5 linked regions of the Macaca fascicularis genome follow. The protein of the gene in region 4 interacts with the protein of the main gene of each other region in a pairwise test. Links are inferred from orthologs where the notes say so. Each region holds a gene or a part of one and is shown on either strand. Other genes may lie near its edges. The genes, in order: YBX1, C1QBP, RACK1, HABP4 and CHD3.

Region 1 (5,143 bases), on a different chromosome or scaffold from region 4:
AAACGATGGATTCCTGGCCTTTCCTTCACCCATACCCTGAGCACTCCAGAAAGCCCCAGGCCTTTAGTATCTATCAGTTATCATGGGAATAAATTCACATTTACCTTTGTACATTCTAAAACTCTTTCCCCACATCTTTTGGAACTCATGATGAATCTTCAACAAAATTGTTCTGACTTTTCTCTGTAACCCTCCAGTGGTGACTGTTCTAACCTTATTGTGGCTTCTAAATCAACTCTCCTAGCTTCTAAAAACTGTAGGCGTTCCATCTTATTTTGGATTCTGCTCCATTTACTATCTTTTTCTTATTGCAGTTATTATTAAGGTTCGAGGATAACAGCTTCTAATAACCTGGGCTTTCAGACCGACCTCCCAGTCCAGCTGTTTTCTACCTGGGTTTTCTCAGTTATACTACCCACCTTTCCAATTATGTACCTTCTGATTTTTCCTAGTTAATTCCTTATTGTTTTCTCATTCTTCATCTAGGACCTGTAATACAGCGATCCTATCACCTGTTCATCTCACTCCAAGGTTGGGCACAGTGGCTTACACCTGTAATCCTAACACTTGGGGAGGATCACTTGAGGGCAGTTCAAGACTGCTTGAGTAACACAGTGCAACTCCATGTCTACAACACAATTTTTAAAAACCCCTCATGTTCCCCTTTTCTCCCCTCTTTATCCAAGTATAAAGTCCACCATTAATCATATGACCAATCCCTACCCCAGGGTCTAAGTCTGGATAAACCAATGCCAGAGAAATCCAACTCTCTGCCCAATCTGAGCCTGATGCTCAAATGGCTAGAAACACAGAGCCAAGCTGGGTGAACTCACTTCTAATTTATGATTGTTATCCTATTACTTACAAATTTACCATCTCTATTTTCTCTGCTACAGGGTTCTTTGCCCCAAACTTTTCAAACTTCCTCTTCTTTTGACTCAATTGAGCAAACAAAGGCTTCCATGTCTTCCCATTAAACATGTTTGCCCATGTATTCTTGTTTCTTACACATGAAAACATCAGGTTTCTAACAACAGGTCAACATTTTCACCTGTGGGCAAAACCCAACTCTCTCTGAGGAAGAAAACATTCCAGCAGTCACTTTCCTGCCATCAACCGTTATCCTCGATTGCATTTCAGCCTATAAATATTATTTCTCAAAAAAAACCCTCCCTTTTTCACTCCCCATTTTCCCCTACTACCTGTCTCCTTTTCAGCAAAACTTGTACTACACTCTGTCTTAAGACTTCTCTTTCAATTTGCTCTTGAACCCACACCAGCCAGGATTTTACCACACCACTCCATGCATTAGGCGCAGCATGTTTCATTTACTCTCATTTGAACAAAAGATTCCTGCAGAGTTTGGAAAGTCTAGCATTCATTAATAACTTCAAAGCAATTATATGTTACTTCTGCTAACTATCTGGCAGGATTGAGCATTCTAAACATGGAAACACGTAGACATTAAGTCTAACTTAAATGAAATGGCAAAAACCTTTGCACTGGAGGGGTAACAATGGATAAAGATACCTTTCTAAGAGACAAGTCAATCTCAAGCTTCTTGTTTGTCAATATAAAAACAATTTGCTCAACAGTGAACTGAAGTACTGAATACAAACACAATATTATACTATTTTTAAGGACATCTATGAAACTAGTTTGGCAAAACATTTAAGCTCTTCAGTGTAACAAAAAGGTAAACCAAAGATTCTGCTGCTGGAACCCATGGACTTAATACATGAGAGCCTATTTTAGATCTACTTTGAAAAATAAAAACCCATCTATCTTCAACATCCAGCATCTGGCTAACACAATCTCCTGGCAGAAAACTGAATCAGAGATCTTCAATTCTAGTAGTGATCAGTTAGGATCCCAGCTCTTTTAACTGAAAACTCAGGACAGGACATATATTAACACAAGAAATATGATGACATCAGCTGCTCTTGCAAAACTCTCAATGTACACGTGCTGATAAGTATGTAATACAACCTCAACTAGATTCCCTAGTTCCTAAAACTACACTAAGTGCTCCGACTTTTGTAAAATTTAAAAACCTATATACAGAAACCCCCTCAAAATATACTCACAGTATATTTTGGATATGTTGGATACTTCTAGAATAATAAACTTGACACTTAAAAATTTGGGGATTTAAAAGTTGTGATTTAAGTGATCAGTTAAGATGCATTATTACTGTATTGGTTTGATTCTTCAGAGGTACCTGTCAGATTTTAGGGATCACCTATGAAAACTTAATACTTCAATAGCAAACCCTCACAGAAAGAACGATTACACCATTCTATCCTACCACCGTGGGACTGGGAACGCTGCCTTAAAGCACACCACAGCATGGACTAAAATACGCTTGGCTCACGGAATTTTTCCTCCATTACTCTAATAATGACATCTATTAATAAGATTTCTAATACCCATTCAAGCAGATAGATTAGTTGTCTAATGATAGACCAGATTTTTCCTCCCAGAATGTAAATTCTTCATGGAGCAATTTCATTTTGCAACTTTGAGCTGACATCCCAACTCCAAAAAAGGGGGGGTACATACCTAAACTAAGAATTAGTGGAAGATTATGTATGCCATTTCAAGTGGTTAACACTTACTGCTGATTCTTCACTAATGCCATGGTACAATTCAGATACTCCTAATGCTTTCCTTTCTCCCTACCGAGGAGGCAGGTTTAAAAGACGTGGTTTAAAATATTATCTTACCTGTTCAAGGATAGAAAATTTGAAATTCCATACCCTCATCATTTAAAAAAAAAAATTTATGTATAAAGCTGACCTCATCTATATGAGCTGTTTTTAACAGGTTCACCTCTTAGGCATCTGATGAAAGGAAACGTGAAGTGTTAACAGAAAAATGAGTCCAAAAGTCTGCGGGAGAGGCATGATATTGCTGAGTTCTAACAGAGGTTTATGTGGACCATACCTGCGGAATCGTGGTCTATATCCCCGATACATATTCTGCCTCACTGGTCTACCTTGTTCTCCTGCACCCTGGTTGTCAGCACCCTGAAAAAGATAATGGAAATCAAGGCTACTGGGTCAGTAACATAATAACCTTACCAGGAAATCCAGAGTTAAAAAACAAACAAAAAATCAGACCATCTAGTAACTGTGACTACACTATAAATTAATCCTGTTAGTTCTTACTAGGAATCAAAGGTGCTTTCCATATGATTAACAGCTCTAAACAGTCCTACCAGAACTTATCACATTGCTGTTGCTGATGGTGAAACTTACCTCCATCACTTCTCCCTGCACAGGAGGGTTGGAATACTGTGGTCGACGCCCATAGGGTCTCCGCATGTAGTAAGGTGGGAACCTTCGCCTGCGGTAGGGCCGGCGTTGTTGGGCCTGGCCTTCGGGAGCACTCTCCGATCCCTCGTTCTTTTCCCCACTCTCACTATTCTGGTAATTTTGCTGGTAATTGCGTGGAGGACCCCTACGACGTGGATAGCGTCTATAATGGTTACGGTCTGCTGCATATTTACTGCCTTGAACTGGAACACCACCAGGACCTGTAACATTTGCTGCCTCCGCACCCTACAAAAGCCATTACATATTGATAGTGACAAAGGAAATCAGAACACTTTCAACAAATTTCAAACAAAGCAAAAAACAAAGTTAAGGAAAACAAAAAGGGGGGTGGGCGACTGCGTGGCCAGGGGTGCACAGAAATGACTAAATATCAGTTCCTCACTGTTCTGAAGAGATTGCCCTCTAACTGCAGCCAGAACATTAGGCTTGATGCACCTGTGTTCATGAGGTCACCTGAACACATCCATCCACATTAGAGCCACCATCCTAACAGATGAGACCTCCAAAATATTTCCATACTGAAGTCAAACCTTTACACAAAAAGCATCCTCACCTTTTCTCCTTCAACAACATCAAACTCCACAGTCTCTCCATCTCCTACACTGCGAAGGTACTTCCTGGGGTTATTCTTCTTTATGGCAGTCTAGTAATATCACATTCCAAAAACAGATTAACAGGGGAGAATAATGTGCTTTTTCATTTAAAATGTACCAGAGTCAATATTATTTTAGCTTGGATATACACTTAAGATTTGCTTTAAATAAGACCAAATCATCAATAAATTTGGGAAAGCAGGGACCACGCTATCCCCAACTTCAACAAAAACACTCCAATCATACAAGGCCCCAGCATTTTACCACTATTTACAAAACTAAAACAAGTAATTTAACACTCAAGACAGACACAACATTTTAAAAACTGCTTTTTGCAAAAGCATTATATGTAATTTTGAACAAATGAGGATCTCCATCTATCCCCTAAAGACTGCACTTAATAGTAGAAGGTGGCCCCACATGGGTCAGTTTAGATGACAGGCGAGTTGGGTTTTGCATGCTTCACAGCTGACCAAACCAACTTTGCCCCTGTGTTACCATATCAAACTCAATTACAAATGTCAACCCAAATCCCTTCCAATCTGATAATACGTCAGTGGAAATGCAATTCACGTGTATTAACTATGTCATTCTTTATATGATCTGACTGCATGGAATTGTTACTTATCACCTCTCCAGCATTCAATAAATCTTGTATTAGAGACTTGTTGCTTCTACTTCTCAGACTGTTAGAAGGGAGGAAGAGTAACATCTCACGTTTCTATGAAATTTTTTTGCAATATTCTTTCACTTACTACCTATTCAATCTCATTATGAGACAGGACATGTGAAAGTATTGTTAATCCCATTTTACAGATAATGTAACAGGCTTTAAAGTTAGGTGACTTGCCCAAGGTCACACAGTTAGTAAGGAGACTTTCTAAACCCAGGTATTGGGTCTCCAAATTCCATGTTCACTCCAAATCCCAGCTATATCCATTACAGGATCACTCACGCATTTCCACTGCAGAGGAGACAGGACAACCAACGAATCTGAGGCCAATTAAGTGAAGCTGCCCAGAACTGCAGTCTCCTTGATACACCACTAAGACCTGAGCAGCCAAAGTCCCAGGAAACAACTACATGTTGAAACCACTTCCAAAAAAATGAAAGCTATTGGTGGCACCTTGTGAATCAGTACAACCGGGTGAGTTGAGTCAAATAATTGATCTCATCTGTCATTTAAACTGTCACATAGTTTTCATACCTTTC
Region 2 (5,646 bases), on a different chromosome or scaffold from region 4:
AGCCCTGGCCTCGGGAAGCGGATGCCTCACAAAGAAAAAAACGGCTGTAGTAGACAGTCATCCTTCAGAGTACTTGTGGGAAGTTTTATCATCACAAAGCAGGCCAGAGACACCAACTAGCGACAATTTTAAGGTGCAAGAATCCACACCTGAGAAATCATGTCCCAAAGTTTGAGTCAAAATTCCTGGGAGATAAAGTTTAGAACCAGAACTGCTGGACTATGCAACTCTGGCAGGCACCGTTCCATACAAGTTCCATGAAGTACCGCCCCCTCGACTTGTGCTAACTAGCTGCTTTGCCAGGAAGTCACCTTTCCATAGTAACAGAGGCAGTCTGAGGTTGACACAATCTGTCTGATTCCAACTGTGCTGACCAAGCTGAGCTCCTGGGCACAGAAATGGAATGATGTTCGTCAGAGCATTATTTTTAATGGCCCCCAAATAGCTATGAAAACCTTGTGCAAATGGTTTTTAGGTGAGATTACAGAAGACACAATTGACCTGTGTAGGGAAAAACCACACTACACAATAGCCAAGAGAATTGGTACCCTACTTCACATCATACTCAAAATGAATCACAGACCTCAACTAAGAGCTAAAACTAGAAAACTCTGAAAAAATTAAGGCATAAATCTTCACAACCTTGGGCGAGGCAGTGGTTTCTTAGATGTGACACTAAAAAAAGCACAAGCAACCAAAAAAATAGGTAAACTGAACTTCCTCAAAATCAGAAACTTTTGTGTCAGAGGGCATTACAAAGAAAGTGAAAAGAAAACCCACAAGATGGGGAACAATACTTGCAAATCATTAATTTGGTAAGATCACTATACCCAGAAAAACTAAAGAATTCTTTTTTTTTTTGAGACAGAGTCTCACTCTGTCGCCCAGGCTGGAGTGCAGTGACGTGATCTCGGCTCACTGCAACCTCTGCCTCTGGGCTTCATGCCATTCTCCTGCCTCAGCCTCCTGAGTAGCTGGGACTACAGGCGCCCGCCACTACACCTGGCTAATTTTTTGTACTTTTAGTAGAGACAGGGTTTCACTGCATTACCCAGGATGGTCTTGATCTCCTGACCTTGTGATCCACCTGCCTCGGCCTCCCAAAGTGCTGGGATTAAAGGTGTGAGCCACCGTGCCCGGTCAAAACTAAAGAACTCTTACAACCCAACAATTAAAAATGTAAACAGGCTGGGCAGGGTGGCTCACACCTGTAATCACAGCACTCTGGGAGACCGAGGAGGGCGGATCACGATGTCAGGAGTTTGAGACCAGCCTGGCCAACATGGCGAAACCCCATCTCTACTAAAAATACAAAAATTAACTGGACGCATGCCTGTAATCTCAGCTACTCAGGAGGCTGAAGCAGGAGAATTGTCCGAATCCGGGAGGCAGAGGCTGCAGTGAGCCAAGATCGTGCCACTGCACTCCATCCTGGGTAATAGCAAGACTCCGTGGGGTGGGGAGGAAGCTACAAATTGTATGATTCCATTTATATGAAATGTCCAAAAGAGGCAATCCATAAAGTAGCTTAGTGATTACCTGGGGTGGCTAGAGGGAGGAATAATGAGTGACTGCTAATAGGTATTGTTTGGGGATTGACAACAATGTTCTAGAATTAGGTAGTGGTAACCGATGCATAATTCTGTGAGGACTAAGAACCACTTAATTTAATAAACTTCAATAAATGGGTAAATTTTATGCCATATAAATTAAATCACATTAAAGCTGTGATTTTAAAAAAGAATTACATATACATCATAAGGTCAATTATAAAGAAAATTCAATTTATTTATTTATTTATTATTTTTTTGAGATGGAGTCTTGCTCTGTCCCTCAGGCTGGAGTACAGTGGCGCCATCTCGGCTCACTGAAACCCGGGGGTTCAAGCGATTCTCCTGCCTCAGCCTCCTGAGTAGCTGGGACTACAGGTGCTTGCCACCACACCCTGTTAAAATTTTTAGTAGAGACAGGGTTTCAGTGTTAGCCAGGATGTTCTCGATCTCCTGACCTCATGATCTGCCGTCTCTGCCTCCCAAAGTGCTGGGATTATAGGCGTGAGCCACTGCACCCAGCCTCAATTTAAAAATCTGGAAGATGACAAATGTCTATCTGTGTAATGAGATTATGGATGACTATAATGCAGAAAAGTGTAAACACTAACAGTTTAGGAGAAGGTGGGGCACCTGACTTAGGTCACAAACTCCCCGCCTCTGATGGCAGCCCTTACTACAGTGGAACCCCATCCTGTTACATATAAGTTACATGCCTTGCATTTTCACCCAAGCTAAACATTAGAGAGAGCAGGGTGCTACTGTATCAGCGCTGTAAATCAGAGATCAAACAGATTCTGTCAGTACTTTTTTGCGCTACATTTTTGTCTCCTTAGTAACCAGCCCACAGCAAATTTGTGTTCAGTGAATGGACTGCCTGGACCTTATGAAGCTGTCCAATTGAATCCTTCACTCTCTTGAAAACCATTTATCCACACCTGAACTCAAGGCTCTTCTAGGGATGACCCAGGACGGGTCTTGCAAGGTTAAGGGAGTCGGTGCCCTGGGATCCCCAGACCAGTACTTACTTTTCCCCGGCAACTTTCCGCACTAATTTCGCTTCTGTCCCATTCAGTTCCAGCTCCCAACCTCCAGACATCTTAGGGAGGGTTTTATGCTTCTGGATTTTTCTTTCCTCCTCAATTTCATCCTTCAGGAAATCAACAAAAGCTTTGTCTCCTAGAAAAGAAATCCATATACATAAAAAGGAAAGCCAGTTAGTCTAAAACATAAAACTATTACCCTGGTTATCGCAGCCAGAAACCTGGACTATTTCTAATCTCTCTGCTATTACAGTTACTCTAGAAGCCTCAGTTTCCTTATCTGTAAAAATACCATAATATTAGTGGGAAGCTGAGCCTGATGCTGGAAAAGTGATTTCCAACAATGAACGCATTACCACTTTCCGCTATAAAGCAGAAGAATTTCCGATCATCCTCTTCCACTTGCCAAACGATAGTTGTATCGTATGCTATTTTCAAACACGACCTTGGGCTTTCCCAAAAGTCCACTTTCGAGAGAATAAGACTAAGGATGAAGGTACCCTCTAGTATTTAATTTTATTCACCCCCCTACCAACAGAAAATGAAACTGGTGGATAGGGGAGGTGGGGGGAATATGATCACACGTGGGTTTAACCCGCTGGTTGCCAATCAATGGAAAAATGTCCCAGACCTCGGAGGTCGGTTGCAGGCCCCACTCCTGGTCTTTTCCCCTCCGTGAACCGCAAACCACACCCCTGGCCCGCGTGCGCGAACCTCACCTTCAGTGTGCAGCAAGCCGCAGCCACAGCCACAGGCGCAGGGTCCTCGAGGCCGCAGGAGGCCCGGCCGCCGCTCGGAACCTGCGCGCACGCTGAGCAGCCCGAAGGGCCGGGCGCACAGCCGGGGCGCCGGCTGCAGGAGCTGCCGGAAAGGCGAGGCGGGCGCGGCAGCGCGGAGGCTGGGGACGGCGGAGCCCAGCACACGAGGCACGCAGCGCAGCAGAGGTAGCATCGCGCAATCCACTGCGAACACGTGCAGATGCAAAGGACAATCCAGGCCCAAGTACCCCGCGACCTAAAGCGCCGCCGGAAGCCCCGCCCTTGCCCGGAAGCGCTTCCCGCGCCGGCGCACTGAGGACCTAAGGCCCCAGGCGGAATCGCGCCTTCTGCTGGAGGCCTCCGGTGCAGCCCGGGAAGCCTCGAATCCGGTTTCCGGAGCCTTCTTGCTGCGCTGGCCTGAGTCCTCTGTCCGAAGCTGTTTAATTCTTTCTAGTGGCCGCTTCCACCTACTGTTTTCAAGGCACGCCAGGCTTTTGGGCTGTGTGGAATGCACTCTTGTCTTCCCCCAGCTCTCACCAGCCCCTTACACGGTCACTTTCCTCTAGGAGGCTGTGGTGTTATATTATGTATTTATTGGTTTTCATCCCCAGTTCCTGGGTCGTAACTCCCATAGCCCTCGTTACAGTGTTCTGTGATAATGTTGGGTGTGTTAGGCCTCAGGAAACAGACTCTCACTCTCCCCTTCTCCCGCCCTCCTTTCACCCGCCCCAATGCAGGACTCTAATCTCCCACATTTCTGATTATGGGTCTTAAGTCCCTTCCCAGAGAAGGTCCCACCCTATGCCCTGGGGGAAGGGATGCTGATGTCCAGAAGCTTCCATAAAAACCCATGAGGACAGGGTTTGCAGAGCCTCTGATAGCTGAATACGTGGAGGTTCCTGGAGGGTGGTGGCCCAGGGACGGCGAGGAAGATCGGAGCTTCTTCCCCACTGCCCACCCTGCTCATCTCCTCATCTGTATCCTTGGTAATATCCTTTATATGAAACCGGTAAAAGTGTTTCCCTGAGTTCTGTGAGCTGCTCCAGTGAGTTAATACAACCCAAAGAGGGGGGTCGTGGGAACCCCCACTTGAAGCGGGCTGGTCGGAAGTTTCAGAGGCCCAGACTTGCCATTGCTGTCTGAAGGTCGGGGCGGTCTTGGGGACTGAGCCCTCAACCTATGGGATCTGACACTGTCTCATGGGATCTGACACTGTCTCCAGGTAGATAATGTTGGGATTGAATTGGAGGACACCCCGCTGGTGTCTGCTGCTTAGTGTGGAGGGAAAAAACCCAAACCTTTGGTCACAGAACTCTTCTGTGCTGATTGTTGTAAGAGCAAAGGAAGAGGTCAGGGTTTTCCTGAAAGAGGCCTTCCTAGAACCTCCTTTTTTCCATCGGCTTAGAACTCATGCTTGTGCGCACCCAGCCCTTAGGCTTCATTCTCTTCAACAGAAACCTCCTGGCATTGCTGGTTTTAACCGGGTTAAACCCAACCAGACTGTGACATCCTGAAGGGCAGGATCCATGAGTAATTTCTGTGACCTTCCCTCTCTGCACCTCCGACCCTGCATCCAAGTTCTAATGGAACATCATTTTTCTGGGGACAAGAAGCCGGCTTGTATCATTTAGATAGGTCCAGAAGCTTCCATAAAAACCCAAGGACAGGGTTTGGAGAGCCTCTGATAGCTGAATACGCGGAGGTTCCTGGAGGGTGGTGGCCCAGGGAGGACGTGGCAGCTCGGAGCTTCTTCCCTATTCCCCACCCTGCTCATCTCCATCTGTATCCTTGGTCATATCTTTTATACGAAACTGGTAAAAGTGTTTCCCTGAGTTCTGTGAGCTGCTCCACTAAATTCATAGAACCCAGAAATGGGGTTCAGATTTAGATTAAGAACCAACAATCCTACCTTCCCAGGATATACAAGCTACTAAGAAGGTGTGTCTTACTAACTCATGATAAGACTAACACTTAATATTTTCTAAATAATTTTCTATGAATAATGGAAAAGAGACCCAAGAAACAAGCCATACACATCATATACAAGATTCATTTTTAATGGATTTGATCGTCGAGTGCAAATTTGAGCATTATTTACAGGAGCTTTCTGTAGAGTTATTTCTGTTCAAATAAAACCAGACTCTCAAAATACAACATACGCCTGAACCTACTTGACTTTTTTTTCCCTCCCTCTAGTTACCAAGGAATATCATATCTCAGATGCATGGCCTGCTATCACACTGGTCTTTAAAGAAAATAAAAAAATGCATGGCCATAGTTCCAGGCAGTTCCTGG
Region 3 (5,850 bases), on a different chromosome or scaffold from region 4:
CACTAAAAATACAAAAAAATTAGCTGGGCATGCTGTAGTCCCAGCTACTCGAGAAGCTGAGGCAAGAGAATGGCATGAACCTGGGAGGCGGAGGTTGCAGTGGGCCAAGATCGCACACTGCACTCCAGCCTGGGCAACAGGGTGAGACTCCATCTCAAAATAAATAAAAATTTTTATGGATGGGGTCTCACTGTGTTGGCCAGGCTGCTCTCCTGTCCTCAAGCAATCCTCCCACCTTGGCCTACCAGAGCATGAGCCCAGCCAAGACTTTAAAAAGGCAGAGAGCCGGGCACGGTGGCTCACGCCCGTAATCCCAGCACTTTGGAAGGCTGAGGCGGGCAGATCACCTGACGTTGGGAGTTCGAGACCAGCCTGACCAACATGGAGAAACCCCATCTCTACTAAAAATACAAAACCAGGCGTGGTGGCGCATGCCTGTAATCCCAGCTACTTGGGAAGCTGAGGTAGAATTGCTTGAACTCGGGAGGCGGAGGTTGTGGTCAGCTGCGGTCACGTCATTGCACCCCAGCCTGGGCAATGAGCAAAACTGTCTTTAAAAAAAAAAAAAAAAAAAGGGTAAAGATATGCAGGCCATGGTGGCTCACGCCTGTAATCCCAGCACTTTGGGAGGCTGAGGCGGGCAGACTGCCTAAGCTCAGTTCGAGACCACCCTGGTGGTGCGCACCTGTAGCACCAGCTACTGTGGAGACTGAGGCACCAGAATCACCTGAGCCTGGGAGGCAGAGGTTGCAGTAAGCTGACACAGCGCCACTGCACTTCAGCCTGGGCGACAGAGTGAGACTGTCTCAAAAAAAAAAAAAAAAAAAAAAAAAAAAAAGTAAAGGTTAAGAGAGTGGGAGAGATCCTTGGAGATGTGCTCTCTGACCATGGCCTCACTTTACCTGGACAGTGTATTTGCACACACCCAGGGTATTCCATAGCTTGATGGTTTTATCTCGAGATCCAGAGACAATCTGCCGGTTGTCAGAGGAGAAGGCCACACTCAGCACATCCTTGGTATGGCCCACAAATCGCCTCGTGGTGGTGCCCCTAAGAGGGAGGACTTTGTCATTCTCAGACTTAACAAACATTCTCATTCAAGGGTCAGACTGATTCCTGGGCCTTGTCTCTGTCTCATTGCATTACTCACACATATATGACAGAGAATCCCTTCAGAATTGCAGGACATGTCCTCACTCCCACATGGGGATTGGCTGACAATGTCATCTGTCATCACCAGGACCCTCTAATTCCACCTGCCAATCACCTCAGCTTTCAAGGTAAAACATGTTCAAACTGCTGCCTACTCAAAACTGTCGCACCTGGTAGAAATGTTCAACCACACTCCTCAGCAATCCTGAGTAACTAATTCAAAGCGAGGGAGGCCAAACATCTTCTGTAGGTGCAGTCTGCTTTCCAGTTCCCAAATGGACTGGATCTCCCCTGGGAAACCAGCCAATTGCATCCACCACATTTCTGCCCAGATTTTTTCCCAAGGCCCCAGAGCTAAGTGAGCAGCTACTTGCGTTGTGAGATCCCAGAGGCGCAGGGTTCCATCCCAGGAGCCTGAGAGGGCAAACTGGCCATCTGAGGAGATAACCACATCACTAACAAAGTGGGAGTGACCCCGCAGAGCACGCTGTGGAATTCCATAGTTGGTCTCATCCCTGGTCAGTTTCCACATGATGATGGTCTTATCTAAAAGCGGCCAAACAGAAGAAAAACCAGTGAGGAACCCGCAGCCAGTTTGTTAACACACTGGATAATTCACTAAGTGTCAAGGTCATGAGTGGGTTAACAACTAAGGATGCTTAAGGAGGGATGGAACAACAGACTACAAGAGCAGTTACAGGCCAGGACTGAGTGGCTCTATTCCAGACTAAAAACGCACGCAGAGCTAAACTGTACCGTGATAACTCTTTTTTTTTTTTTTTTGAGATGGAGTCTCACTCTGTCACCCAGGCTGGAGTGCAATGGCATGATCTCGGCTCACTGCAACCTCCACCTCCCGTGTTCAAGCAATTCTCCTGCCTCAGCCTCCCTAGTAGCTGGAATTACAGGCCGCCCCCAGCACGCCTGGCTAACTTTTTTTTTTTTTTTTTAAAAACTAGAGATGGGGTTTCACCATTGGCCAGGCTAGTTTCGAACTCCTGACCTAAGGTGATCCGCCCGCCTCTGCCTCCCAAAGTGCTGGGATTATAGCCGTGAGCCACCGTGCCCGGTCTGTATCCTGAGAACTTAATTTAGGTGCCAGAAATTACAGACACCCTTTCCTGAAACTCAGACGAACTCAACAGCCACCACGTATCTTCTCTGCAACCGAATGCACAGCAGTTCGTGGCTGTAGAGTAGCTGGGGCCTCCCATGCCTCCCTCTGAGGGCCGACAGAAATGTTATAATGAATGCTGGAAAAGCCACTTTAGGCGCTACAGGATCGGATGCTTTTACTGAAACCTGTCCCACTCAACAATTTTACGATTAACAGCCAGACACGATTCAAGAGTCACACAATTCTTAACAGTGTAGGAGCAAAGGGGAAGCACAACAAGTGTCCAAACGCAGTCAGGCACACAGGGATAGGGACGGGGAGGGGAGACCCAGGGGCAGAAAAAGTAGGACGAGACTTGAGCCACGAGGTCCTCTGGAGTCCACCCGCCTCCCCACGAGCCTTGGGCCGGGCGGCAGCTCAGAAACAGCCTCTGGATTTCAGCACCGACACTCAGATGGCATGTTGGGGTCATCACCGCCCCGCCCGGGCCGTAGGCCCCCGACCACACTACGAAGGGGAAGGCAGAAGATGTTTTAAAAGTTTCCAGCTCTCCAACCCTAACAGCCACGAGCCGCTCTACGTCTAGGTCCTCATCTGCAATGTGGCTCGCCCGGGCTGAGGCCTAGGCTCGCGTCCGCACGCCCCAAATCACAGTGAGGCAGAAAAGTTTGTCAGTCCCCGACAGCGCGCGCGCCACCGGCCTGCCCGAACCACGCGGAATCCCCCAGCCCTGCAATCTCGGGTCCTGAAATCTACCTTAGTCCGTACCTCGAGAGGCGGACAGGATCATGTCCGGGAACTGCGGGGTAGTAGCGATCTGGGTTACCCAGCCGTTGTGGCCCTTGAGGGTGCCACGAAGGGTCATCTGCTCAGTCATGGCGGCGGCGAGCGCGTGTGTCGCTGCAGCGACGAGGATGGCACTGGATGGCTCAGAGAAACGAGCAACACAGCCGCTACCGCCGCCGCCTTGCAGTGAAAGAGAGAAGCCCTCTGCCGGAACCGGAAATACCCACTCGACCAAGTAAAATGGCGAGCCCCATGATACACTTCTGCTCAAGATGGCGGCGCCATGTAATGCAAAAGGCAAAGGGAAATTGCACGGCATCACAGTCCCCACTTCCGTACAACATAATCTGACAGCGCTTTATAAATACATTCTGAAACAAGCACATTCAAGTGTTTAAAAAGGCTTCTCAGGGATGATGTAGAGCGAGAAGCGAAAGAGGTGAAGTGTACGGCACATTCCCATGAGGACTCCCTGGCGGCTTCCCCGCCCCTATGTGGCGTAGCTCGAGCTCCGCCTGTTCCACTTGGTGCGGGGAGGGTTGACGGGGCAACCACAGGAGAGCTTAATTTTCAGTTCACTATCGTGGGTAACGATGGGCAATTTAAAAAAGTATGGCATTAAAATTTTAAAAATAAACTTTAAAACTGTGCTTCCGCGGGACCGTCCTCCCTCAAGAGGTTTTTGTTCTGATGCACACCAACTCCGGAAGGACTTAGTCCAGGCTGGACTAAGGCAGGAGAGGGTTACTCTGGATGTACTAAAAATTGGTCTCTTTTTGCCGGGCGCAGTGGCTCGTGCCTGTAATCCTTCCACTTTGGGAGGCCGAGGGGGTGGATCACTTGAGGTCAGGAGTTCGAGACTAGCCTGGCCAACATAATGCAACCTCTTTCCAATAAATAAATAAATAAATAAATAAATAAATAAATAAATAAAATTAGCCAGGTGTGGTGGCGGGTGCCTGTAATCCCAGCTACTCGGGAGGCTGAGGCAGGAGAATCCCTTGAACCTGGGAGGCGGAAGTTGCAGTGAATCGAGATCCCGCCACTGCACTCCAGCCTGGGCAGTAGAGCGAGACTCCGACTCAAATAAATACATACATACATACAATAAAATAATAAGGTGAAAATTGCCCTGTGTGTTGCTAGACTGCCAATCCATTCCTGCCTAGGTCAGAACACGGGAAGCTCTCGCAGAAACGGAAACGCCCAAAGGAGGACCTTAAAGTTCTGACTTCTGGGGACATCCACTGGAAAGCTCTCTCTGGGCCCAGTCACTGCACACAAAAGCCCAGGCGTCTGGGGGTCCAGTTGCACCCTGAAGGACGTGCCCAGACAGGGAAGCGGTGGAATACGGATACCTAGCTGTCCTTCTGCCTTCCACTCTACCTCAGGAATTTAAACAAGTAATGACTCTCATTCTCTCACATCTGACTATAAGAGACAGTATTGGGCACCGTGTCTCTTCAAGTAGTTTTAAACAGGGGGACATATCAGGATGATAGCAGCCACCAACATCTATGCAAAATAAAGATGTCACATTTCTATTTGTGACATCTATCAACTTTTGTTTCTCATCTGTGAAATGAGATTGGAAATAACATTAGTATCTACATTACATGGTGTGGACAGTAAAGAAGCAAATTAAGCGCCCTGAACAACGTCTGGCAGAGTAAATGTTCTGAAACTTAGTGAGCACCTCTTGGGTACCAAGCCTTATTTTAGGTTTTGGGGACAAAGCTGTGAACAAGACAGATGGGGGACTCTGGTTTATTTGCAGCTTACTTCCGGCGGTATGCGAAGAGGGGAGAACATTGGAGCAGATACACGGAGAGAGCACTGTGGGTATATGGGAGAATAATGTTCCGTGGAGGGACGTCGTGTAGGGGAAGAATGTTTCAATCGGAGGGAAGAGTTAGTGCCAACGTACTGAGCTGGAGTGTGGAGGGGCTGAGGACAGAGCAGTGAAATGGAGGGCGCAGTTAACCTACGGCCTTGAAGGCCTGGAGAAGAACCTTGGCAATGTCTGCTAGAAAGCCTGCGTAAAGGCAGAAGACAGGCGAGGGACGGTGGCAGAGCTGCCGCAGGCTGTACACGCCCAGGTGTGCAGAGGCCTGGATCCCTCCCTGAAACAGCTTGCTCAACTGGTCCATGGCAGATTCCCCTGCCTTCCGCCGCAGTCTCTGTCGGGCCCCGCGGAACGCTGTCCTGGCTGTGCTCCTCCGCAGCCTGTGGACCATCCTAAGGCTCCAGGTTTGTACATCACCTGCCTTCTTGGCACCCCCAGCTGACTGTTCTTTCGCTTTTCCAATACAAGACGCAATCCCGACCCAGGTGTTTTGTTTCTGTGGTGGTCGTGGAAGACCCCTGCCTTCACCCACCCGCTAACCAGCTTGCTGCCCCCGACTCGGGTCACGCCAGCCCCTCCCTGAGCCCTCGGGCGCAAATAGGTCAACGACCACACCCGCCTCCCGCTGTGGACTGAATGAGATTCGCGGTGCGAGGGGTTCCCGGGTTGGGGCCCTAAAACGCCGAGAAGTAGCACTAGATTACACTGTCACATTCTTTTTTCCTTTCGAGAAACCTCATTCGGTTCTCTTTTTCTTGAACGTTCCACAGGGAGTCCAGGTTTAACACGAACCTCGCTGCAGGTCCCCGACCCACGCCCAAGGAAAAGACCTTCCCGCGCCGCGGGTCCCTCTCCCGGAAGCGGGCGGTTGCCACGCCCAACCCCACCCTGCCCCGCCCCCTTTCCCGCTCCGCCCCAGGGCTGCCCCCTTTCCCTGCCTCGCGAGACC
Region 4 (5,932 bases):
TCAAAGTGTGGTCTCTGGTGCGTGGAGTGATTCTGGTTCATTGAGATAAATTTACTATTTTTACAAAAAAAATTTACTATTTTTACTAAATTTTACATGAAATGTACTATTTTTACAATTTTAAAGTGTATAACTCAGTGACATTTACTAAATTTACAATTTTGTGCAACCACCTCCACTATCTTGTCCCAGAACACTTCATCGCCCCACGGGAAACTCCCAGGCCCATTAAGCAGTTACTTTCCAACAGTCCCGACCCCCACGCCTGGCAACCACCAATCTGCTTTCTGTCTCTATAGATTCTGGACATTTCATATAAATGGAATCATACAACGTGTGGCCCTTATTGTCCGTCTTTCACTTAGCACTACGTTTTCAAGGTTCATCCATGTTGTAACAAGTATCAATACCTTTTTATGACCAAATAATACTTTTTTGTACCACATTTTATTTATCCATTCATCGGGTGACATATATTTTAGTTGTTTCTGCCTTTTGGCTATTGTGAGTAGTGCTGCTGTGAATATGTATATACAAGTTTTAGTTTGAACACTTGCTTTTAATTCTTTTGGGTAGAAAGTATAGGCATTAATCTTTGCTCACTCAAAAGGAGGTGACCAAATATCTTAAATTCTTCAATCATTCAACAAATATTTACTGAAAACCTACTCTATAGCCGTCTAGAACTCCAAGCACTGGGAATAATACATACTGCAATGAATAAGACAGGCATCATCCCTGTCCTCCTTGGGAATAACACAGAATTCAGTAAGTGAGTAAAACACAGACTTTGCCGCGTTTAGGATTAGGAATTCCTTTTCTATTTGCTATTAAAGGAAAGTAAAAGCTGGTCACAGAGCACCTGGCAAGATGCTCTAACTGGATGCTTTCAGATGAAACAAGCAAACACAACTAAGCGCAATCAATCTGTTATCTTACATCATAAGCCTCAAGCGGGGAGGTTCCCAAGTGGGTCCAGTTGGCAGCTTAACATCATCAAGGATCTAGGCTTTCTCCATCCTGCTCTGCCATCCTCATGGCCACACTAAGGAACAGCCAACCTCAGGCATCATATCTTCTTATGGAACAAGGACCAGGGAACGGAAGTGGGGCAGATCCCTTCTCAATCCCTTCTTAGGTGCAAGAAAAACTTCCCCAGAATACTTCTCCTCAGATCTGTTCTGCCTGATTTGCCCCACAGCCTATTCCTAAGCCAATTATTGGCAAGGAATTGGAATCAGGTGCAGTGAATTATAATCAAGTTGGAGGCTGGAAGGGGCCTGCTTCCCCTGGGGAATATGATGCCGGAACATAATACAGGCTCTGGAAAAATGTAAGAGGGAAAGAATGGCTGTAGGATAGGCAGCCAAGCGTAGCTCCACTGGTGCCTATGCAAGATTTCCTGGAGGAAGTCCAGTCCAGCGTTCTCTAAGCTCCAGGCCTCAACTGAACATCTCAAAAGAAAACAAATATCCAAACCTCAACGTGTCCAAAACTGAATTCATGATTCTCGTTAAAGTAGTGTCTTCCAGTGGTGACTAATACTACCATTCAGATGCTGGAGCCAGGAAAATAAGAGTCACTATATCTTCTTCTTCATCACCACATCTAGCACATCACCAAGTCTTTGAACCCATCTACTCTCTTCACCTCCACCGCCACCATCCTAATCCCAGTCATTATCAGCTCTTCCCTGGAGCTTCGCAACAGTCACGTTTGGCTTCCCAGCATCCATTTGTATTTCCCTCCAAACTATTAGTTCACTGTGCAGGTAGGGTGGCCTTTTCAAACCCAAATCCGCTCATGCTCAAAACTTGCTTCCCACGGCTCTTAGAGACCACTTTGAGCTTGAACAGACTGTGCACATCCCACCTCAAGACTGCTGCACTTGCTGTTCCTCCTCCGACCCCTTGTCACCCCCCTCCCTCGGCTTAACTGTCACTTCCCAATTAGGTCAGGTCCCTTTGCTGCAGCCCGTGGAGAGCTCTGCGCCTGTCCTTCAGGGCACTTTTTCTCCATCCACAGACTCAGATCTGTGACAACACGGAGCTAGTATTTCCTACAACATCACGCCTGGCACACGGTAAGTGCGCAATATGCAGCTGTTGCACGGCTAAATGTATACATAAGCTTCAAAGCAGAGTGGCCGAGAGCAAATACAGACGCAGTCACGGGAGAAGGCACACACCGCCGAGACACCACCGCCACTCCGCGCCGCCTGGACCAGCCAGTAGCTCCGCCCCTGGGCCCCGCCCCTCCCTGCTGAGCGGAGGGGGCGGGGCTCAGAGGTCGCGTGACGTGACAGCAGCCGGTCGGTGATTGGGTCTCCAGGCGCGCCGTCTCGGGAAGGGGGCGTGCCCGCGCGCGCTGATTGGCTGCCTGGCGCGGTGGGGCGGACGGCGGCGGCGCCGCGGGGGCGGGCGGCGGGAGGGGCCGGACCGGGTAGGGCCCGGAGGGCGGCGGCGGCGGCGGAGCGGGCGGCATGGGTCCTCGCCGCCGGCTTCGCTGAGACGCGCTCGCGTGGGCTGCCCTCCCGGGCCCGCAGTGGTCGCGGCGGCATGAAGGGCGCCCTGGGGAGCCCCGTGGCCGCCGCCGGCGCCGCGATGCAGGAGAGTTTCGGCTGCGTGGTGGCCAACCGCTTCCATCAGCTGCTGGACGACGAGTCGGACCCGTTCGACATCCTGCGCGAGGCCGAGCGCCGGCGCCAGCAGCAGCTGCAGCGCAAGAGGCGCGACGAGGCGGCGGCGGCGGCGGCCCGGGCCGGTCCCCGCGGCGGCAGGAGCCCGGCCGGGGCCTCGGGCCCCAGAGCCGGCGCGGGCGGCCGGAGGGAGTCGCAGAAGGAGCGCAAGAGCCTCCCGGCGCCCGTCGCTCAGCGGCCCGACAGCCCCGGGGGCGGCCTGCAGGCGCCGGGTACGCGGGGACGGCGGGGGTAGCGGGCCACGGCTCGCCCTGCGGAGAGACTGGGGTCCCGGGGGCCGGCTCCAGGAGGGGGGACCCGGGAGGAGCCGGGAGAGTTGAGGGTCCCGGTGGCCGCCGAAGGTAGGAGGAGCGGGGCGGGGGTCACACCCCTTCCAACCCTCGCCGGCCGCGTGCGGGGCCCCGGGGGAAACGCTGGCTTGGGGGGGTGGGGCCCCCGAACCCTGGCTCGGAGCCGCTACGGCAAGTTGGACGAAGTTGAGGGAGGTTGCCGGGGTGGCGTGTGGGGGCGAACGCTGAGGTCGCTACTCCGGGACTCCCGCATCCAGACCTGGCGGGGACCTTCTCCAGCCTCCAGCCCCGCCTCTGCGGGAGTGAGGTCGGAGCCACCCGAGAGCGCGGTGGGGAGGAGGAGGGCGCCCGGTCCCGGGGCTGGGGGCCTCTGTGATGCGGGCGGCCTGGGCGACCGCGGGGCGGCCTGTGACGTCGGGGCCCGGGCGCGGGTCCTCGGCGCTGTCCGGCCTGGCGCCTTCGCCCCTTCCCCGTCCGGTAGCTTCCAGCAGGCAGCGGGCATCGTATTTCAGTACTTCTTGTGGTGCTGATGGGATGTGCAACTTATAAATAGCTCCAGGCTGCTTTAAGAAAAGCGTTTTTAACCTTTCCAGCCAGAATATCCGGAGTTCCCCACTCTCTGTTTAGCAAGAAAAGCCAGTGCGCAGCGTGGTGTCCTGCTGCCTGCGGACGGGGAGGGAGTTCGTGCTCTCACCTGAACTGCGTCAGTGGCAGAGCCAGCAACGCTCCACCTGTGCTTCCTCTGTTTTCTTGAAATGAGGCAGCGGTCCCAAGGTTTGCAGAGCGTTAGGAGTGAGATGTGTAGATTGACCATTCCTGCCAACGCTTGGCGGAGTGTGCAGCGTGGCTTGCTGGTTTGTTCCTTGCTTGATAAAAATTGTGCATCGCAGCCCTGAGGAAACGTCTCAGGTTTCAGTATTGGGGCTTTGATGCGCAGCTGGGTAATGTTTACCTTTGTTTGTGAAAAGTTAAATCCAGAGTCATCACTTGTGAGAATCAAGTCACTACAATAAAGATGTTGAAAATGATTTAAAAAAAAAAAAAAAGTTATTGACTATCTCACGAGCCTTTGATAGGCCAGTAAATTTCTGAGCAGATTATCTAAACAGACTGGAGATACATTGTGCATTTTATATCCTGTTTTTTATGTTTTTCTCTTAAATTTATTTACATGAATATAATAAAAGAATTGAGGAAGGCTAAGCTTTTCTTCACCCTTTATTTTTTCACAAATGAAAATGCTGGGCGCGGTGGCTCACGCCTGTAATCCCAGCACTTTGGGAGGCCAAGATGGGCGGACCGCGAGGTCAGGAGATCGAGACTATCCTGGCTAACACGGTGAAACCCCGTCTCTACTAAAAATACAAAAAGTTAGCCGGGCGCGGTGGCAGGCACCTGTAGTACCAGCTACTCGGGAGGCTAAGGCAGGAGAATGGCATGAACCCGGGAGGCAGAGCTTGCAGTGAGTCGAAATCGCACCTCTGCACTCCAGCCTGGCGATAGAGCGAGACTCCGTCTCAAAAAAAAAAAAAAAAGAAAAAGAAAATACGTATTCTGTTCTTCAGAAAAACGTGAGACGAGTTAGTGCTGTTAATACATTGATTTTTAGCCTTTTAAAAATTGTCATGCATTTTTGTATTAAAAATTTTAAGCAATTCCAAAATGTATGAGGTTAAGTGAAAATCCTCTTATTTTTCCTACTGTTAACACTTTGCATTTATATACATAAATGCACAGAGCTATTTCTTTTCTTTCTAAACTTAAGTGATATAAACTGGGTTGCAACCTGTTTCCTGCACTTAATGTTGTCATGTAGTACACTTATAACTTTTTTTTCTGTCAGTTGTTCAGTCTAAGTGATCTGGCTTTTGAAATCAAAGGTATTTAGTTGATTTTGTAGTTAGAATGGAAATTTTATCATTCAAGTTCTTTTTCAAGTATGTGTTATTTCAGGAGCAAACAGCTCATTAATTTCCATTTATGTAGTTACTGTACTAAATTTATCTATAATGGGTGTCAAAGAGCTATTCTCTCAAGGTTTTATAGCCCTAGTTGATATGAAGCACTGTACTTTTCTAACATTCAAAATTTTTGATTTAGTTAGAATGTTGTAAGTGAATGCTTAGCATAGACAAAAATAAAACATGTTTGACATATCATAGAAATGTTAATCCTGAAAGAATGTGGAAGTCACAAGCTTTTCCTATGGAAAAGGGTTGTTTTTTTGTTTGTTTGTTTTGTTTTTTTTTTTGAGACAGAGTCTTGCTCTGTCGCCCAGGCTGGAGTGCAGTGGCATGATCTTGACTCACTGCAACCACCTCCTGGGTTCAAGCGATTCTCCTGCCTCAGCCTCCTGAGCAGCTGGGACTGCAGGCGCGCGCCACCATGCCCAGCTAATTTTTGTATATTTTTTACTAGAGGCAGGGGTTCACCATATTGGCCAGGATGGTCTCGATCTCTTGACCTCATGATCTGCCTGCCTTGGCCTCCCAAAGTGCTGGGATGTGAGCCACCGTGCCTGGCCTAATTTTTTGTATTTTTAGTAGAGATGGGGTTTCACCATGTTGTCCAGGCTGGTCTTAAACTCCTGACTTCAGGTGATCCGCCTGTCTAAGCCTCCCAAAGTGCAGGTGTGAGCCACGATGCCCGACCAAAAATGTAGATTTTTAAATGTCTATCTGTCTAGCAATATATATAAACCCTTGGGTGAGCCTTGCTCAATAAGTTCATTCTTTTTTTTTTTTTTTTTTTTTTTTTTTTAAGACGGAGTCTGGCTCTGTTGCCCAGGCTGGAGTACAGTGGCCGGATCTCAGCTCACTGCAAGCCCCGCCTCCCGGGTTTACGCCATTCTCCTACCTCAGCCTCCCGAGTAGCTGGGATTACAGACACCTGCCACCTCGCCCGGCTAGTTTTTTGTATTTTTTAGTAGAGACGGGGTTTCACC
Region 5 (5,635 bases), on a different chromosome or scaffold from region 4:
GCCTGATTTATACAAGGTCTTTGAATTTAGGACGTTATCCCAAAAGCAGGTGGAAGCCACTGAAGAAGCTAAGGAAAGTTCGATGTTTAGGTTTGTTTTTCATAGCTGACTCTTACTGCAGCATGGAAGGCAGAAGTGGAAATGGGAGAACAGGTTAGGAAGTTTCCATAGCAGTTTAGACAAGAGGTGATGGTAGCTTGGAGAAAAGAAGATAGGTTCCAGAGATATTTAGGAGACAGATTACACTTGATGAGTGACTGGATGTGTGAGGAAAAGGATGTGTTTCCGGCAAGAAGCATTGAAGTAGGAGTCTCTGGAAGAGGGACAGATTTTGGCAGAATGAAGACATCCCGTAGGCACAGGACAGGCCCTGAGACTTGCACTAGAGGAACAGCATAGCCTTCATTCTTAAATAGTTCAGGGTTTAATTGAGCAAACAAGGTACACGTAATTGCAGAGTTGATTAAAGATCAAAATGACTGATTTAGATAATTCACGGACTCCTGCATTCCATGGGATTAGATTTAAATCCTCCACCTCACAGTAAATTCAGATAACTGCTGAAGCCAACAGTAATGTTTCCTGTTCATGCCTCTCATAGCCCCTCAGAACACCTATACAGCCCAACGGCATCTCACAGGGGTCACCTTCTCCTGCGCTGGGCCCTGATGCCCCTGCCAGAAGGCACACTGAACTCCTCCTGATTTGTGTTTCGCTTGCTGCTGCCAGGAAGTTCACCTGCCTGTCATTCTCAAATCTCCCCTCCTTAAGTTAAAGGAGACCAAATCTAGCCGCTGCCCCCAATAGTGGTTCTCTTTTGGTCACCAGGAGAGTTTTCTGACTGACTTAACATCTCTCTTTACATTACCCCTGTCAAGTTCTCTCTTTTGGAGTCACCATCTTGCAACCCTGTCTTCCTCATCTTCTCCAAGTGGCAAACTGCCTCCTTTTTCTCCCTCACCAAAGTGTCACTAATTTGCTGGCCTTTTCCCCACTCTAGTTTTCCTTCAAGTTAGTAAATACCCACCTCTTTGCCCCAAAAAGGTCAGGAAAGAAATTTGGGGTATGGGATTAACAAGGAAGTAGCCCCAATAGCTATTGCTTAGCTGACACTTAGCCTTCCTTGCCTCCTCTTCGCCACAGGAGAACTCTGCAAACTCCCAGAGACAATAACTGCTAACTGTACAATAGGACCACAGTTTCCTATTGTGCAAGGAGCCTAGGAAAAAGCCACATCCCAAATACTTGCTCTGAGAACAGTGGTTACAAATGTTAACATGAGATTAGACATGGAGATGGTCCCTTTATATTGAGAGAACATGGACTTTGGAGTTGGGTAGACTTGAATTTGCATTCTGGCTCTAGTGATACTACCTAGTGTGCCTTTGAGCTATTAAACTTTTCAAAGTTTCAAAGGACTTATCTGTAAAATAGTAATCCACCTTACAGGGTAGTTGCCTTGAAGAGGCTATTTGGGAGGCTGAGGCAAGAGGATCACTTGAGCCCAGGAGTTTGAAACCAGCCTGGGCAACACAGTGAGACTCTGTGTCTATAGAAAATTAAAAAATTAGGCATTGTGGCGTGCACCCAAAGTCCCAACTACTCAAGGCAGAAGTGGGAGGATCACTTGTGCCCAAGAGCTCCAGGCTGCAGTGAGCCATGATTTTGCCACTGCACTCCAGACTGGGTGACAGAGCAAGACCCCTTCTCTTTGTGGGGGTTGGGGGGAGAGGGTATATGAAGTACCCAGCATAATATCTAGCCTGAATTGCCTATAATGACTCACTTCCTTTCTTTCCCTTGGGTTTCAGCTGCCAAATACTATTCTACAAGTAAGATAAGCCAGCTTTGTGTGGTCAATGATAAACATTTCCTATTCCTGTCTTTGTAATTCCCATCTTCCTGCAGACATCTCATTTCCATCATTGCCAAAAAAGTCCTTCCATCCCTCACCCCTGTAGAATTACTCTCTCTTAACTATCAAACAGTTCTGCCTGAACTCTGACTATCCTCTTCTACATCTCCCTAAACCAAGATACTTGATCTTCTTGTATCATTCCTAAAGATTAATTCACTGATTTTCTCAGAGCAAATTGTAATGAAGGCAGGGAATAGGACCTTTACACTTCAGAAGGGCACAGGCTAGCTGCTAGAGAGGAATGGAGATCTAGGCCCAGGCACCCCTCCGCCCCACCACTTTTCGTCAAGGCACAGAAAAAGCCAAACTCGAAATATGTCTTGAGTGTACATGAGTGTACGTCTCCTTTCCTACAACTCTGTGAGATCATCATTGAAGTACAGAAGTATTGCAGGTGTGTGAAGTGTACCGTCCATATTGAGATAGTCAAATTCTTCCTCCTCATCCCGGATCCCATTCTCTTCCAGGGTAAAATCCATGTTCAGGTTCTTCCCTTCATATTTCCACGTGTAGCTGGCAGCATGTGCATTATAGGGGAGATAGCGGTGTAGGATTTCCCATATGGACTCCAGAACCCCCACCTGGAGAACACAGAAGCACCCCACCCCCAGAATTCTGGATGGAGTATACACATATACACACTAGGATCAAAGTGCCTCCCTTGGCAGATAGCAGCTTCAGGTAATCTACGGCCCCAGAAAAAAAGCTGAAACTCCAGCATGCAATGAACAGGCCCAAAAGACCTACAGCTCTTAATGGCAGCCACTTCTAACTACCAGATGGCCATAAAGGGTCAAGTGTCCCCTCACTATATCCGTGCAATAGAGTAGATTAAAAAGAAAGTTCAATTGCTGTCCAAAACAGCGTGTAAGAGTTTTGAAGGACCACCATCACTAAGATGCATAAACTGCTGTTCCCAGGCTTATAAAGGAGTCTCTTGTCCCCGTGTGACCCAGACACTCCTAGAATTACCAACCCTGGGGACCTAGGTGCTGTGCTTTCCTCAGTTGCCTCAATGTAAAGGGCAGAAAATACACTCCCACTGGTTATGGAAAAAAATGTTGCCCTGCAGATCGGCCTGGAGATTTGCTGGGATTCCCCATTCCCTCTAACCTGCTCCTTGTCACCAGTTCTCACCTCCAGTGTGTGCTCCTGCGACGTGAGTGTGTTAATGATGCGGATGCTCCGGGTCTTGGCAGACAGCCGCCCCACCTCATAATACGACCCCTGCCACCAGGGCTTCCCAAAATCGTTGGCCCAGTCCGAACAGGGCAGCTGAGGCGGAACGTGCACAAAGCGACCCCGCGGGGTGCAGTACCTCAGGCAGCCGGTCAGCGGATCTATGTGCTTGCGGATCTTTAAAGGAGGGTTTGGGGCGAGGGGATCAGAGCAGTCATTATGCTCTGGCTAGCCTCCGCTTTTCCTTCCCATCCCCGCTCTCCATTGCCTCTACCCACAACCCCAGATTTCAGCATAACTCACGTCTTTGGTCTTTGGATCAAACCAGTGGCTGATGTCCTGGCCTGCAACTTCCACGATAGGTTTCAGCAGCAGATTCCCTTGAAAAGAGCAGCCACGGTCAATGCCAGCCCTTCAAGAACCAGGCAGACGCGCGCGCGCGCCCGCACACACACACACACATACACACACACACACACACACACACTCCGGCCCCGGCCCAACGTGTGACCCTTACCCTTGTATTCCTGTGCCAATGACGTTAGGTCGTACACGCGTCCCAAGTAAGATACCCAGAGGTCTTCGGGCCTGTTATGTTGGGCCACCTCCGCCGGCGTGAAATAGCGACGCTGAAAATACTCCAAATCTGGCCCAGCCACCAGGCCCCGGCGCGGCATGGCTCTTGCTCTGTCAGTCACTGGCTCTCTTGGTTACTCCTTTGCTCCTCAGCACGCACTCACTACTACTACGACCTCCGTCGCCTCCGGGAGCCGAGGGGAGAGCGTTTATCCGCTGACATGGAAACCATTGTCCTTTTCCGGCCACCGTCCACTGAGATAAATATCAGGGGGTGAGGCTTGGACCGCACGTGTTCACGGGAAACGTAGTATGAGTCCCACACGGGGCATATAAGGATCAAGTAATTGAGTTGCGCCGCTTTCAGGAGTTGGGGGTGGGCAGAAAACGAATACGCTCCGTTTTAATTTAGCGGCCTGGGCTACATGGGATATTTATGACAGACTATCTCTCTGAGACAGAAAAACAAGGGAGGAGGCAGTATGAGAGTGTATTCTCGCTAAATTCCAGAGTTTCTAAAGGATGTGTAAGAAAGTAGAGGTAAAGGTCTCGCGATATCGTAAGACATCCGGCGTGGTACGCTTCAGTGAGCCACAGCGCTAGAAGTAGGAGAAGCTCGCGAGATCTCTGCCGTTGCCGAGGAGACTAGGAGGTGGAGGAGAGGTGATCTCGCGAAAGGAAAGCGGTCGGGAGCGCTCGCGAGATCTCGGACCACCCAACCTGAAAGGTGCTTAGGAAGTTGAAAGGCCCAGAGGAGGCCTCCGGGCAAATGGCCGGAGCTGGACCGACCGTGCTGCTACGAGAAGAGAATGGCTGTTGCAGTCGGCGTCAGAGCAGCTCCAGCGCCGGGGTTAGCACGGGCTCTGGTTCTGGGATTGAGGGGCAGTCGAGCAGCAAGATGGAGGGGGTGGGGGAACTGCAGCTCCCGGCAGCCTCTGGGCGTTGTGTGAGCGCCCCGCGGGCTGCCGGGAGCTGTGGTTCCGCGGGCGGGCAGCCGGGACTGCGCGGTCTGAGCGCTTGTTCCACCCCGCGCAGGATTCGGACGGAGAGCGCGAGGACTCGGCGGCTGCGCGCGCCCGGCAGCAGCTAGAGGCGCTGCTCAACAAAACTATGCGCATTCGCATGACAGATGGACGGACACTGGTGGGCTGCTTCCTCTGCACTGACCGTGACTGCAATGTCATCCTGGGCTCGGCGCAGGAGTTCCTCAAGCCGTCGGGTCAGTGCCTGGGGAATGCACACCCGCCTGGAAATGTGGCGGAACCTTACGCAAGGCATTTCCCCTTCAGGGCCTGGCTGCAGCCCTTGTTTTCTGGGGCTCGTTTTTGTGGCTCAGAGGGGCGGTACTGATGCCGGCCTGCTTCCCTGATCCTCTGATCCTTCTTTCCAGATTCCTTCTCTGCCGGGGAGCCCCGTGTGCTGGGCTTGGCCATGGTACCCGGACACCACATCGTTTCCATTGAGGTGCAGAGGGAGAGTCTGACCGGGCCTCCATATCTCTGACCACGGTGGCGCATACTTTTCAGACTTCATTAAACTTACGACCGAATGGACCTGTGTCTGTGTGTAGCTGGGATGCCAGTACAGGGATAGGACACCCCACCCCTAGAGGAAAGGACTCATCTGAAGTCGGGAGCACCCTCAACCCTCCTCTACCAACCGGGATGTCCAGGGGTGCCAAAGGTTCTCTCAAGTTCAGGGGTAGAGATGGGGGACAGGGCTGAATGATGCACCAACAGGCCCCAGGGTGGGCCCCTGCATCTTCCCTCCCACGCTGCTGCTCCAGAATTGTGGCGGGAGGGGGTGTCATCCTGCTCCGGAAGGCCCATTGTTTCCCACCCCGGCCTGGCAACACCGAGTTCCTTTAAGCTGGGGTCAGAGAACGGGCTCAGGTCCCCAAGGGGAGCAGGGGCAGGCGGCCGAGGCTGGGCCCCCTCCACTCTATTGATGGGGAGGTGCCTG

What was found.
Region 1: the proteins of HABP4 (region 4) and YBX1 interact in a two-hybrid assay, tested with the Homo sapiens proteins (2 studies listed by BioGRID and IntAct). The link is inferred for Macaca fascicularis from reciprocal best matches to the Homo sapiens genes HABP4 and YBX1.
Region 2: the proteins of HABP4 (region 4) and C1QBP interact in a two-hybrid assay, tested with the Homo sapiens proteins (2 studies listed by BioGRID and IntAct). The link is inferred for Macaca fascicularis from reciprocal best matches to the Homo sapiens genes HABP4 and C1QBP.
Region 3: the proteins of HABP4 (region 4) and RACK1 interact in a two-hybrid assay, tested with the Homo sapiens proteins (2 studies listed by BioGRID). The link is inferred for Macaca fascicularis from reciprocal best matches to the Homo sapiens genes HABP4 and RACK1.
Region 5: the proteins of HABP4 (region 4) and CHD3 interact in a two-hybrid assay, tested with the Homo sapiens proteins (3 studies listed by BioGRID and IntAct). The link is inferred for Macaca fascicularis from reciprocal best matches to the Homo sapiens genes HABP4 and CHD3.

The regions. Positions count from the first base shown.
Region 1 is NC_088375.1:192,171,625-192,176,767, forward strand, and holds part of YBX1 (Y-box-binding protein 1), read right to left. Parts: intron 3,982-5,143; coding exon 3,892-3,981; intron 3,564-3,891; coding exon 3,261-3,563; intron 3,030-3,260; coding exon 2,947-3,029; intron 1-2,946. UniProt on the Homo sapiens protein: DNA- and RNA-binding protein involved in various processes, such as translational repression, RNA stabilization, mRNA splicing, DNA repair and transcription regulation.
Region 2 is NC_088390.1:5,501,642-5,507,287, forward strand, and holds the start of C1QBP (complement component 1 Q subcomponent-binding protein, mitochondrial), read right to left. Parts: upstream 3,640-5,646; 5' UTR 3,545-3,639; coding exon 3,313-3,544; intron 2,730-3,312; coding exon 2,579-2,729; intron 1-2,578.
Region 3 is NC_088380.1:188,336,913-188,342,762, forward strand, and holds the start of RACK1 (small ribosomal subunit protein RACK1), read right to left. Parts: upstream 3,251-5,850; 5' UTR 3,147-3,250; coding exon 3,038-3,146; exon of another isoform or gene 3,026-3,037; intron 2,751-3,025; exon of another isoform or gene 2,683-2,750; intron 1,699-2,682; coding exon 1,527-1,698; intron 1,245-1,526; exon of another isoform or gene 1,166-1,244; intron 1,051-1,165; coding exon 903-1,050; intron 1-902. UniProt on the Homo sapiens protein: Scaffolding protein involved in the recruitment, assembly and/or regulation of a variety of signaling molecules. Interacts with a wide variety of proteins and plays a role in many cellular processes.
Region 4 is NC_088389.1:126,614,438-126,620,369, reverse strand, and holds the start of HABP4 (intracellular hyaluronan-binding protein 4), read left to right. Parts: upstream 1-2,425; 5' UTR 2,426-2,558; coding exon 2,559-2,910; intron 2,911-5,932. UniProt on the Homo sapiens protein: Ribosome-binding protein that promotes ribosome hibernation, a process during which ribosomes are stabilized in an inactive state and preserved from proteasomal degradation.
Region 5 is NC_088390.1:7,922,531-7,928,165, reverse strand, and holds the start of CHD3 (chromodomain-helicase-DNA-binding protein 3), read right to left. Parts: upstream 3,912-5,635; 5' UTR 3,775-3,911; coding exon 3,615-3,774; intron 3,478-3,614; coding exon 3,401-3,477; intron 3,275-3,400; coding exon 3,056-3,274; intron 2,500-3,055; coding exon 2,328-2,499; intron 1-2,327. Other genes in the region: NAA38 (N-alpha-acetyltransferase 38, NatC auxiliary subunit), read left to right, coding at 4,443-4,523, 4,709-4,892, 5,064-5,176.